Drosophila melanogaster: one gene and its partners. The protein of the gene in region 1 interacts with the protein of each later gene in a pairwise test. Each region holds a gene or a part of one and is shown on either strand. Other genes may lie near its edges.

What was found. Proteins that work in one complex are often made in the same cells at the same time.
Region 2: the proteins of gt (region 1) and Cpr50Ca interact in a two-hybrid assay, tested with the Drosophila melanogaster proteins (one large-scale study listed by BioGRID).
Region 3: the proteins of gt (region 1) and NfI interact in a two-hybrid assay, tested with the Drosophila melanogaster proteins (one large-scale study listed by BioGRID).

Annotation. Positions count from the first base shown.
Region 1 is NC_004354.4:2,426,602-2,430,674, reverse strand, and holds gt (giant), read left to right. Parts: upstream 1-1,707; 5' UTR 1,708-1,822; coding exon 1,823-1,874; intron 1,875-1,949; coding exon 1,950-3,244; 3' UTR 3,245-3,562; downstream 3,563-4,073. UniProt on the Drosophila melanogaster protein: Represses the expression of both the krueppel and knirps segmentation gap genes. Binds, in vitro, to the krueppel regulatory elements CD1 and CD2. It is required in the early embryo for the development of portions of the head and abdomen.
Region 2 is NT_033778.4:13,768,195-13,772,935, forward strand, and holds the start of Cpr50Ca (cuticular protein 50Ca), read left to right. Parts: upstream 1-1,720; 5' UTR 1,721-1,779; intron 1,780-2,571; 5' UTR 2,572-2,780; coding exon 2,781-2,822; intron 2,823-4,741.
Region 3 is NC_004353.4:273,349-277,983, reverse strand, and holds the start of NfI (nuclear factor I), read left to right. Parts: upstream 1-1,614; 5' UTR 1,615-1,693; intron 1,694-2,264; 5' UTR 2,265-2,323; coding exon 2,324-2,404; intron 2,405-4,067; coding exon 4,068-4,223; intron 4,224-4,271; coding exon 4,272-4,635.

The DNA.
Region 1 (4,073 bases):
CGGATTAGCGGATAAGTTCGCGGTTTTTTACTGATTACCATCGATCGATCCCTCTTTTTATTTGCAATTCACCCAATCCCCCTGAATGGGCAGTTGTAAAAAGAGAATGAATGAAAGATAGTATATAATGTAGGTATTGTTGATAGGATTTGATAACATTTCAGCGTAACAAATCTAAACTACGTTATGTCCTCGAATTAGCTGCAGTAAGTATCTAGCATAACATTTCCCATGGATGATAGCCAACTTTGTACCGCTACCCACTTCCGTTGGCTGTCGAGGCGACCGTTAGGACAAACAGTTAACAAAGTGAAACAACTTGTCGAGGATCCCACATCCCACGCCGCAGCGGAAGCCAAAGGGATAAAGGACGTAGAATCAAGGATGTTTAAGGAGGAGGGCAAACACGAGCAGTCAACACGGACGGCCACTTGTCGCAATGATCCTGGACTCTCGATTCTCGATCCTCGGGCTGGCGGCGTCATGAATCAAATGGGCAGACTGGCGAGTGTCCTTGCCAAAATTCCGGGAAGCCGAGTTTTCATTGCCGAAATAAGAAAAGGATGCGAATTACGCCAGCCGAAAAGGGCTGAAAATTGCAAGAACGCCAGAACTCGTCCTAATTTCCATAATTTGTCACGCACAATCCAACGAATTCGCCATCGCATGGATACACAGATTCTAGATGGGCTGGTCAGCAAAAGGATTTCGAAACAAAAGCGCAAAACAAACGGATTTAGCCATCACAACCCTTGGATGTTGTGCATCTATTATCAACAAACTAGATTCCATCTCTTTTCTTCTGCCAGATGCCTCTCTTTCTGGCCAGAAAAGTATGATTTGAGTGTAATTATAATAGTCTACGGTCGGGGGGTCTTTGATATGCGAAATGTTCTAGAAGATTCAGAAGTATGGTTTATTTCAGTGCTGAAGAGAATAGCCTACGATGTTTAATTGCGGTTTATTCTTTATATTTGAAAGCAATATATACAGCAGTTACTTAAATCTAAAGGTTTAATAACTTAAGATTTTTAAGATTGGTTTTTGGGTAAGGGTTTTATCAGTTGGATGTCAAAGCAAGTAAGTTAGGTACAATTGTAATAAAAAATCAAATGCACAATGCTGGTATATACAAAAATCTGGGGTTTCCTCAAACTTGGACTTATAACATCGCAATGAACGCCTATGAAAATAGAGCCGAAGTTTATAACTCTATATTGATTATGAATATTTTTAACCAATTCCATGAAAACGAAATGTAAAGCACTGCAGAGGTGGTACGAATTTTCCTATTTTTTCCCATTGAATATTAAAACCAAGAAAAAACCATATCCTTTCGCGGAAACTGATGAAACGTAAAGTTCGAAAACTCTTTGTACTTTCTTTTTAAAATTACGTTAAATGGCGAACTAACAATAGCACAAAGAACTATGATTTTTGCGAAAACTGCGAAAACCAAATGAGGGAAAGGGCAGCCGCACCCTTGTAAAACCCTTTCGAAAGCGGTGAGACAGAGAGGGCAACAGGCCAGAGCGGGACAGAGTCAGAAGCAAAGCCAGAATCACCCCTTTGCCCTTTGGCCTTTGTACCGCCTACCTGCTTCGTACCGCTTCGGCTGGCCGCTCGTGTCCGCCATTTCGATGTGAATGAGGCGTCGGCGCAGCCTCCGGATTTTCGGTATAAATGCAGGGGGTTCCGACGAGAGGAAATCAGTTTGCGTTCGACATCGTCAGCGTGAAGATATAGCAACATCAGAGCTAGATCACCAGTCTATATAGCGTCAATCAGTTGGATTAAACCCAGAGACCATACACCGAACACCATGCTAATGCACGAGAAACTCATGGCCGGGCAGTTCTTCGATCTCAAGACTGGTAAGTTGGCCACGCCCCTTGGTTTCTCCTCGATCCGTAAACTAACAAATCCCCTCTCTCTCTCAATCTTTGCAGATCGCAAGCCCCTGATGCACCACCACCAGTACCAGCACCACCAGCAGCAACCACTGCACCACTTGCCGCACAGCCAATTGCCGGTTCAGGGATCCTTGGGCCTACCCAAAATGGATCTGTACACGGCCTACGCCTACCAGCAGCAGTTGCTGGGAGCTGCCCTCAGTCAGCAGCAACAACAGCAACAGCAGCAGCAGCAACATCAGCAGCTGCAGCAGCAGCATACCTCCTCTGCAGAGGTCCTGGATCTTTCCCGTCGATGTGACAGCGTAGAGACACCCAGGAAGACTCCCTCGCCGTATCAAACAAGCTATAGCTACGGCAGTGGTTCCCCCTCGGCTTCGCCCACCAGCAATCTTCTGTATGCCGCCCAAATGCAACAGCAGCAACATCAGCAGCAACAACAGCAACAGCAGCAGCAGCAACAATTAGCCTCCCTGTATCCCGCTTTTTACTACAGCAACATCAAGCAGGAGCAAGCCACGCCCACTGCTGCTCCGCCCAAGGTTACACCAACCGCTAACCTTCTGCAAACCTTTGCTGCCGCCTCTGCTGCGGCCGCCGCTGCTGCTGCCGCTTCTTCGACCAACTCACCAAGACCCGCCAGCAACGCCAGCACCATGCAGATAGACGTTCTGGAGAATCCCCTGTCACCGGCTGTTGAGGCCACCACGCCAACCACCTCCAGCAGCGGCGAGGCGGGAAAGAACACCCGTCCCTTCAAGGCCTTTCCCCGGGATCCCTTGGTCATAGCTGCCAATTTCGCAGCCACTGATGTCCTTTTGGACAATCCGCGAGTGGAGCGCTACACGGAATACCGGAAGCGAGTGCTTGAGCAAATCCGCAGCTCCAACGGAGGATCGCGCACCGTAACCAACCCAAAAATGCGAAGGACCAACTCAAGAAGTGGATCCGTCAACGAAGGCAGCTCCTCAAACAACAACAGCGAAAGCGAGGATCGCGCTGCTGCGGAGGAGTCAAGCGACTGTGACTCCCAGGCGGGCAACTTCGAGAGCAAGTCCGCCACCAGCAGCTCCAGCAACTTGGCTAACGCTACTGCAGCAAACTCGGGCATCAGCTCGGGCAGCCAGGTTAAGGATGCCGCATACTACGAGAGGCGTCGCAAGAACAATGCTGCCGCCAAGAAGTCCCGCGATCGCCGCCGCATCAAGGAGGATGAGATCGCCATCAGGGCCGCCTATCTGGAACGCCAGAACATCGAGCTCTTGTGCCAGATCGACGCCCTCAAGGTCCAGCTGGCCGCCTTCACCTCCGCCAAAGTAACCACCGCCTAAAGGTCCACTCCTCTCTTGATGCGTTGAACGCGAGGATCCGAATCGTATGTCCAGTTTTTGGGTCAGCTTATCTGTGAATAGTTTAGGGGGCTCAACTTTCTTTTTTTTTTACACGCTCGCATTTAAGTACTTTAAGTCCTTGGAGTATACGTTATATTTGGAAAATGTATTAGCTGTAGTGCATCTCGCAATCCCACCAGTTAACTATCAATGGAATCATCTATAGTTGTAGAAGTCCCAGCTAGCTATTAATGTTTAACTTATAAGTGAATTTTTTTCATAGCCCTAAGGAATGAATTTCAATAAATTATCGAAAATAATTATCTCCTGGAATTTCTGTTCTCGTTGGTCGCCTCCTGGAACTCCTGTTCGCCTGGTAATTTAAACCGAAAATCTGTTAATTTTGCTTACAAAATTAGCATTTTTGTGGCAAATTTTGGGATTTTTGGTACCAGGCCAACATACTCAGTAGCGGGTGTCTACTGAAAACCAACTAATCGTTGGTCGCCTCCTGGAATTCCTGTTCGCCTGGTAATTTAAGCCGAAAATCTGTTAATTTTGCTTACAAAATTAGCATTTTAGTGGCAAATTTTGGATTTTTGGTACCAGGCCAACATACTCAGTAGCGGGTGTCTACTGAAAACCAACTAATCGTTGGTCGCCTCCTGGAATTCCTGTTCGCCTGGTAATTTAAGCCGAAAATCTGTTAATTTTGCTTACAAAATTAGCATTTTAGTGGCAAATTTTGGATTTTTGGTACCAGGCCAACATACTCAGTAGCGGGTGTCTACTGAAAACCAACTAATCGTTGGTCGCCTCCTGGAATTCC
Region 2 (4,741 bases), on another chromosome or scaffold:
GATGGAGCCGGGAGACGACAACGACGACGATGACTGCATCCGCAATGCAACTTTCTGTGTGAGATTTCCGCCTATTGCAGCTGCAACTGGCGACGCATCTGGTGGCCACATGGGGGTTTCCGGCCGGAGGGAGCGGCTCCTCCAACTTCTGGCGCATCTTCGGTGTCTGAATTTATTACGAGATTGCAAATCTCCACCGCGATTACAGCAATTATGTGGCTTTCGGTAGGAGGTTGGCACATTGCCCGAGGAACGTGCCCAGAGGTGTGGAATTAAGACTCTCGGCGGAAGGGGTAAAGAAAGTGATGTCGAAAGCTCTGGTCATGAAAAAGAAACGATTTTATAAAATTGATAAAAATTATATGTATTCATTAGTAAGCTGGGAATATTACCCCCCCCCCCCCCTTGCTTAAATATTAAGTATACGCCCCTGGTCGCTTACATGGCTCTCCTCTAATAACTCAATTTCAACACCAGCAAAAACAAATGTGAAAGTGCCAAAAGCCGCCTCCCCCCCTCTCTCTCTCACTCTCTTTCCCGTGGTAACCACCAATCATAGCCAAAAATCCCCAATCAGCTCAGCATCTGGCCCAGGTTTCGATGCACTCGAACAGATAGTCCGACCTCGCCACTCTAAGCCGCTTTAAAGTCCCACCATGGGCTGCAATAAAATAATATAAAATGAAATAAAGATAATTTGTCAGCTACTTCATTTGCGGCAGCGCGTGCGTGACTCGCGGTTGCCTGTTGCATAATATCTGCAGTTGAACTTTCCCAGGGGTTAGCACTCTCTTACCCACCAGTCACCACATCACACCAACCAAGGGGTATAAGTTCTATAAATCAAATATAAATATCAATATCAAACTTATAAATATATAAGTTCCTATAAATCACATAATCAGGCTGGGCCAAGCCTTATAGGAAATGCGTGGCAGTGCATTTCACTTGTTGCCATTAATAAATTAATTATACAACCATGACGGCACTGAGCTCAGTTTTATCCCCAGACGCACGCACTCTAAGCCCTCGTAAAAAATAAAGAAAAATGCACACAGATGGTAGGAAAACTTGTACATTTCGTTGTCATCAGCACAGCAACAGCGCATATTGTGCAAATGTTGATGGTCAAAAGTTGGCTAACGCCTTGGCCAAAGCCATGGCCAAAAAAGCAGCTCGAAATGCAGCCAGCTAAAAGACAAATATCAAGTGAGTGGTGAGGTTTTCAATTTTCAAAAGTCGAAAAAGAAATGCTCTGTTTGAAGAATATATATATCAAATATAAAGACAACTTTAATAAACTCTTAATCATTGGAATTTATAAAAAATGTAACAATTAATATAGGTAAAATCATTTTTGGCATCGTAGCACCTGTCTAATTTCCATTTATCCCCACAGATTTGGAATGCAAATGAATTTCCCCGAATAAATTGCAAATTCGACTTCCTTCTGAGCGTTGCAAATTTAATCAGCAGCTTATTATGCCCCACACATAAAAAAATAAAATTCAAAAAAAAAAGAAGGAGGAGAAAAAATATGGAAAATGCAACAGCAATACGCCAGACATGGCCGAGTCTTTTCGGCAAAGGCAAAGGAATGGAAATGGAAAATGGGAAAAGCGAGGCAGCGAAAAGCGAGCCAACAACAAACCGGCTGTCTCCGTGAAAACTGCGCGGCCCCGAACACACACAAAACTCAAGTGGCGCGAAAATTCGAGGCACAGTTGCAACAGCAGCGCGCAAGCGTGCGGTTTTCCTCCACAGTTTTTCCAGCCAAAAGTAAACAAGGCAAAGCGAAACGAAACGAAACGAAAACTCAAATTAAAAGTCGCATTAAATAAATGAGAAACGAACGAGGACTGCGACGAGCAAGTTTAAACAAAGCTCAAAGACAAAGTTGAATGAATATAGTCAAAGTTTGCTTTTCTCCGCAAAGGATATGAGAAAATCATTTTGTAAAAAAAAAAAAAATATAAAGAGCTTGCATTACATTTAACCAAAGTGCTGGCTAACAAGGATATAATATACCTTAAAATAAATTAAATCAAAAAAATATAAACGCATCAAGTTAAACGTCGAGCAAATTAATGAATATTTTACTGAATGACAAAAGTGAAACTTATAAGTGAAACATCTAAGGACGAATAACGAAAACGATTAGTTAGATAGTTAAATTTGTTAAATTAGATTTTATGGTCTTGTTTTATCTCAAAAATCTCTTAGTTACTAATGAAAAAGATTTTGGTAAAGAATATAAGATCAGAAATAATTCTCATTAAACATAATTCATTCATTTGTCATTCATTTGATTTTCTAAGAACAGGAATTTTTGAAATCGCAGGATACTATTTTTCTGCCTTCATAGTTTTAAAAAGTACTCATTTAACACAGCCTTTGCAGATGTGTCATCTGTTAAAGTACCATATAATGATTTTTGTTTTACTAATTTGTTAATTATGATGTTTCATAATTATGGGGAAATGTTTAAAACAGTTAATATGAGAATTTGAAAAGCACTTTTCGCAATTAGCTGCTGTGATAGTTAACCAAACTGAACGAATACTTTTCCAGGTCCGACAAACAAACAATAAGGTTCAACGCTGAACAAACTCATTTACAATTTGTATTTAAAATACCAAGACGGCGAAAAACAGCGTGGGAGAATAACAGAAATTTCAACAACAATTACAAATTGAGCTGCCACTTTTGTGGAAACGCGAAAAGTGCAACGTGCAACTTGACGCCTCATTTGCCCGAACTTCCGCCGACATCCAAGGAAAATGGAAATGGCTATCTGCGGCGGTGGCATCCCCACCTTAATGGTAAGTACATGGGGTCGGTTCGTTTCGGGTCGGGTTCATCATTCTGAAATTTTAATATAAATAACCGACAACTGCAAGGGCCATCGAGGCGTGAAAACAACAAGCGCCAGTGGAGAGACTTCGAGCGAAATTTCTGGGCGTGGGCCTGGGAAAAGTGTCGGCCTTCGATGCAGCGATTTTCATTTTCTGGCCAGGAAATGGACGCGGCCAGTCACTGCATATGGCGGGCTTCTTCTCATTTTCCTGGCGCACGCACATTTCGCAAGCAATTTATTTTCATTGCACTTGAACTTCAATTAGCCCGGAAACCAGCGAATACTGGCCAGACTTCGTTTAATTACCAGGCATTAAAATCATAAAGCGTATTCCAAAGTATCTTTGCTCAAAAATTCGTTATGCAACTGGCATTGATTGTTTGTGCTTTTTGGCCAAAACGCTCTCCATTTTATGACCCCGGTCTTTATGAAGGCCCGCTGTGGTTATCTAACCGAATCGACATTGGAATCCATATCCAACTGCCGGGACGAAAGGAAAATGCACCAGCAGCATTTGCAATCGAAACTGGAAATTTGCAATTTAAGTGGATGGAAAAAAAAAAAAAAAAGTTTGCGACCATTGCTGGCATTTCTTTTCAGCCAAGTTTCCTTGTGGCCCAGGAAGCACTCGTACCCCCAGCACTTTCTAGACCCGTAAAGTCTTTTATGTGCATTGAACTTGACTTTGCCGCCGGTTTTTGGCCAGGGCAAAAAAGACCAAACTGGTTCTAACTGCCACGGCCACTGCAGTTGGTAACTACCCACGTTGCACCACCCACATCTCACTGCCACATTAACAATTAGCCCAAGCTGTGCCTTTTGCCTGCCTGCTACCATTTCTTCTGCTGTCTCGACTCGCTCTCCGTCTTGGTCTTGCTCTTGGTCTGGAACTTAGTCTTGGCCCTGGGTCTTGGCCCACTCCACTCCACACCATACCACTCGTCTGGGTGGCACGTTTTTCCGGCTTGTTGCATACAACAAGAGACGATGCCGTAAGCGCATATTGCAGCCAACAATTAAACAAACTTGTGGCCAAACAGCAATTACAGAAACCATTTAATGAAGCAACCTGCTCGACATGAAAGAAAGCGAACGAGAACAATAAAGTCCAGAGGGAATGTGTTTGTATTGATTGGGTTAAAGACATGGAACTTTAGAGAAAAAATTATAAATAAATAAAAACATACACGAATCCAAAACTTAATCAAATCAAACAAAAGATAGTGATTTAGTTTATATTAACCCAAAACGAATTTCCACAAAATAAATGATTTTTCTAAAACTAATTGAATGCTGATACAAAAAACACCTTCTGTTTGCCCACTGAGATGTTGATTCCCTTGTAACTAAGAAGCCAGAAGATGATCAAAACTAATTGAATTGCTTTTACAAGTTTATCACCTCCATGCCATGCTGACTTTTATTATTGGTTATTTGTCTTGAAAAAATAAACCGAGTACAATAAAAGCCAGTTCAGCACTTTTAAACTGCCAGTACAATAAATACAACTTGTAAACAGCTGTAAAACTCGAAAGCCAAATGGTAAAAACGTAATTTAATCAAACTTTAGCTCTCGCAGCTCTCGCTGCAAATATTACAGTTTCAATTTCCCAAATAATGTCAAAACAAAAGAAAACTTTTAAAACGCCATGCAGATAGTAGTATTAGAAGTAGGAGTAGAAGTTGAAGTAGTAGTTTCGCTCCTTTTGCCTCTCTTAGCGGATCGTAAAGGAATTGTTAACTAGTTTTCGCAGCACTTCTAATGCCATAAAATCCGACTGAGCAAACTGAAACGAACGCAAATAGCAACAATTTTTATCGCTTCTTTGCATTGAGTTTTCAAACGAATCTAGCGCGTGTCCCATCTGAAATGAAAAGACACTT
Region 3 (4,635 bases), on another chromosome or scaffold:
CGACTGGTCTTGCCGGTACCACGCATATTCAGTTTTTATGAACGCTCCTGGCATCAATTCCTAAAACATTTGACAAGGCCATAAGCACAGTCCTGACACGCGCAGGGGTTTATTTTAGGACTGGACTCGCCGGGTCAATGCCATGGTTTGGTCTTTACTAGTGTCGTACCTATCCGGATTCTGCCTTTCAATTGATTCATGATGACTGGCTATTTAGTCTTTGAAATGCTTAAATGGGCCCACTTTAAACGTTAATCTTCGGCGTCTCCAATGTCCACGGTTTTTCCGTTTGTGCAGGTCAGTCTTTGTATCTTGCTTTCTTGCTTTTCCTGCCGCCTTGCCCTCACTCGTGAAGTCTCGCTTTTCGTCCTCCCTCGCCGTCTGTAACCTGCCTCTCTATCTATCCTCCCTCAGTAAGCGTAATCTGATAGACGCGGAAGTCAACTATCCCATCCCAAATGCATTTGGGATTTCTTTAATCCAATTATTTCGACGCAAAATATCTTCATCTCAAAAGCGAGAAAAACTTTATTCCAAATCAATAAAAGTCTATCGGTCTTGATCGGGTTTATAGGGTAAAATCGCTCTTTTTACAAGAAGTTGACATTCATTTCATCCAATAACCAAGGCCTTTATGGTCACCACTTATAATATGGGGGTGTACTATGTTCGTTGAAATGTGTGTAACATGTTGAAGGAAGCGTTTCGAACAAAAAAAAACGTATTACTGATCAAGATCAATAGTCGAGTTGATCTGGCGAAGTCTTTCGATCTCAGGAACTATTAAAGCAGGAGAGTTGAGATTAGAAAGGAAGATTCCAAATGTTCCAAATGTACGCACACAAACCGCCTTTTCCATCAATGTGCCAAACAAGTTTTTGCACTGGGCACTCTAACGCCCATTTTTGAATGTTTTTATTTCATTCCCCAATTTCTATCGATATTCCAGAAAAATTAATTACTGGAATCTGAGAGTCTTTGAACTCGATGACCAAAAAATTTATTTCGCCATATTGACTAATTTCAACAAACAAAAAACCTTTTTAGGACTTCAGAGGAGGAGTGGAATCTTCGGAAACGAACTTGCACAAATTCGACATTCTAAGAAACTACGTACTTAAAATCAACCTTCTAAACGGATACGGCCATTTCCTTTCTTATGGAATAGGGAACTGTTCTTTGTACATGTTGCTTAATTTTAAACTAATATAGTATTTTTTAAAAAAAATTTTGTGCATTCACACCTTGATTGATCTATAGTTTTTGCCATAAAATGTGTTTTTTAATATAAAAACTTCCGAGTTCCTTTTAGTTAGGCGAATTAATATTGTCATCAAGCTATTGGGCTTGGTAGATATTTCTGACATGTTGAATTTTTACTGTAGTTGCGTGTCACATGCGCATTTCGAATTTCAATGAGCTCTCTCGTTTAGTTCCAGTCTCTCAGAGCACTAGTATCCATTTTTAGAACGTTTGGTTCGCTCGGGCCCTTTGGGTCGCTTATGTATTTGTTGATTAATTTGGATTCATGCACATATGTATGTCTCTCAAAGAGAATAACAGTTGACGAGAACAAAAATCCAAGAAGTCATCTGTGATTTGCCCATTTTAAATTTAGTCTATAAGCACAAGTTTTGCATAACACAGCTACTCAGTTATTGTTCCGTGTACTAGAAATTGCCTTTATATACATGTAAGTGTTAACAAAAAAAATATGAAATTGTGTTTTTCACATAATTAAAACCCGCGAGGTCTTAGAACTGACTTAACTTTAAGAAGGACTTTATTAAAATATTATGGTAGAATACCATTCATACTACTAGTTTACTTAAAGAAAACAAATTACAGTTGCATTTTTAGATAGTATTACAGGTTGTAGTTTAATAACTTTAAAGACGAGCGGACGACTTAATTCTCTATACATTATTGTGCGTAAGCACATGAGAAAGTTTACTTCTTATGTGATTCTCGGTAACTTTTTTGCGGATTGTCCCGACAGTAATAGCCGAGTACATCGATACCTCAGATATGCGTTACTCAGCTGAAGGGCCTTTAACGGAGATAAAGACATGTAAGTTGGGAGGAATCCGTACCGGTGGTTAAATTAATTGCTTGGCAGTTACTCGCTGGATCTTTTACAGGTTTTTCGAATTTGTGGGCGTTAGACGGGCGTTGAAAATATTGCTAGGAACATTAATTATATTTATATAATAAAATACACAGCAATACTACCTAAACTCAATACATTTTTTGATTCACTTTAGACTACGTTCGATATAGACAATGCAATAAACGATTCAATGAAAGTAACAATACCTGAGGTATGTTTATACCAGAAACTTTAAGAGGCTGTATGATCGAGACGGACGTTTCTTCTTATTTGCAAACATCATCATCGGGACAGGTAAAGCGCCGTCGGTACCTTTTTTAGGTTTTTACGAAAAATAGTGATGCTTAATCGAAAAAGTCTGTAAGTTATTTAGTAAGATAGATGCGATTAACAGTGAGATAATTTGAAGAGAACTAAGTTATGCTCTCGAATACGTATATTTTAAATTTTACAAGACCAAATTTATCACGATAGGTACAAATATAGTTTTTTCTTAATCGGAATAATTCGCATGCTTTTTAATATCAGACCTTCTATATTTCTTGAGTTAAATTATAATAATTAGTTTGCCTTCTAAATAGTAATGGAAATTTCACATATAAATAACAAACTAAAACTAAACTAAAAGGGTTGAAACCGCAACCGCAATGTATGTACATTAAAAATGAATCCCGTCATATTATGAATAAATTCGAAACATTGTTTTTATCAACATTAGAACGAAATAAAAAAATGTGGAAAAGTAGGGAAATTATTCACAGAACACTATTTACATTTATTTGTACATATACGTACGTATATACACAGTATACTTGTTTTCTAATTCGTTTGATATCCCATATCATATCCCACCCAGTCGGAAGTTTGTGAACATATCCAGGAAAAGCAGTATTACAGAGTGCTTCATTTTCCACAAACAACGTTACAATTTTTTCCCACAGCTAAGAAGCTGGCTTGAAGCATTGAATAGATGGCGTCGTAGAGCGCCCAAACGTACTGCTTTTAGATGTACTCATTTGGATACGTAAAGGAAAATAAAAACCCCATCGTGCATATTCGGGTACAACGAACCCTGTTCTGTTTATACACAGACTCTGTAGAATCTTTTCATCCTTTCAGTTATATTTTAATATTAGATATACTCTTATTAAAACTATGAATATTAATATAAATTTTCAAACATATGTATGTGTACGCACGTACATCCAACTAATATTTTAAAAAGATCAAGACCATATATATACATTTATGTATATATGAACTTTTTTCTCAAAAAATGTGTACGTTTGTGTTCACACATATGTTAGAAGGGCAAGCACATTTTAAACAATCGTTACTTACAACAAAGCAAATGACAAAAGGGATAGAAGCTGACAAAAAAGGTCGTAGCATTTTGTTGTTTTATTGCCATTCTGTTTAGGTGCTCTTTAAATTTTGAAACGCAAAGATCAGTCAGTTTTTTGCAAAAATTTAGCGACATCTTTATGTTTTGTATTTGGCAAGTATAAGCACATAATATTTATAAATTTCTTGATTTGTTTAAAAAAATGTGACAATTTCACAATTGCACTTTTAATCGAAATATATTTTTAAACAAAAATATAATATAATTTTTAGTACCATCAGGAATGATGGAATACGTAGTTTTTTGTATATATACATAAGGTGGTGCAAATGGTTTTTATTTGTAAATTTTTGTCGATTTTTTAAGCATTCCTTGTTTTGCACTTTAGAACTCTAACTACAACTATAACATACCTCACCTATCTTTGGGATTGTCAAGTATTTAAAACTTATTACAGTTAGAGGCAATTAGGGACTTTTAAGTCTCTGTTCTATGGTCCTTAAATCCGTATTAAGCTTATTGTTAATATACAAAGTACATTAAGTTATATGCACTTAGACATGTAAAATTATTTAAGATCAGTAACTAATTAAATGCCTTTTTTACATATAGGATGAATTTCACCCTTTTATTGAGGCACTCTTACCGTACGTCAAATCATTTTCCTACTCTTGGTTTAATTTGCAAGCCGCCAAACGAAAATATTATAAGAAACATGAAAAACGTATGTCACTGGAAGAAGAAAGACATTGTAAAGATGAACTCCAGGTATTAATACAAACAATTTTTACAAAAGTATAAAATCGTTTTTTTTAGAATGAAAAGACTGAGGTGAAGCAAAAGTGGGCTTCCCGTCTTCTTGGAAAACTCAGAAAAGACATTACACAAGAAAGTCGAGAGGATTTTGTGCAATCTATAATCGGGAAAAGAAAATCAATTTGTGTTCTCTCAAACCCCGATCAAAAGGGAAAAATGAGACGAATTGACTGCTTAAGACAGGCTGACAAAGTATGGCGGCTTGATTTGGTCATGGTTATACTCTTCAAGGCGATTCCATTAGAAAGCACAGATGGTGAGCGGTTAGAAAAAAATCCGGAATGTTTACATCCAGGATTATGTGTAAATCCGTACCACATTAACGTGTCTGTTCGGGAATTGGACTTGTACTTGGCCAACTTTA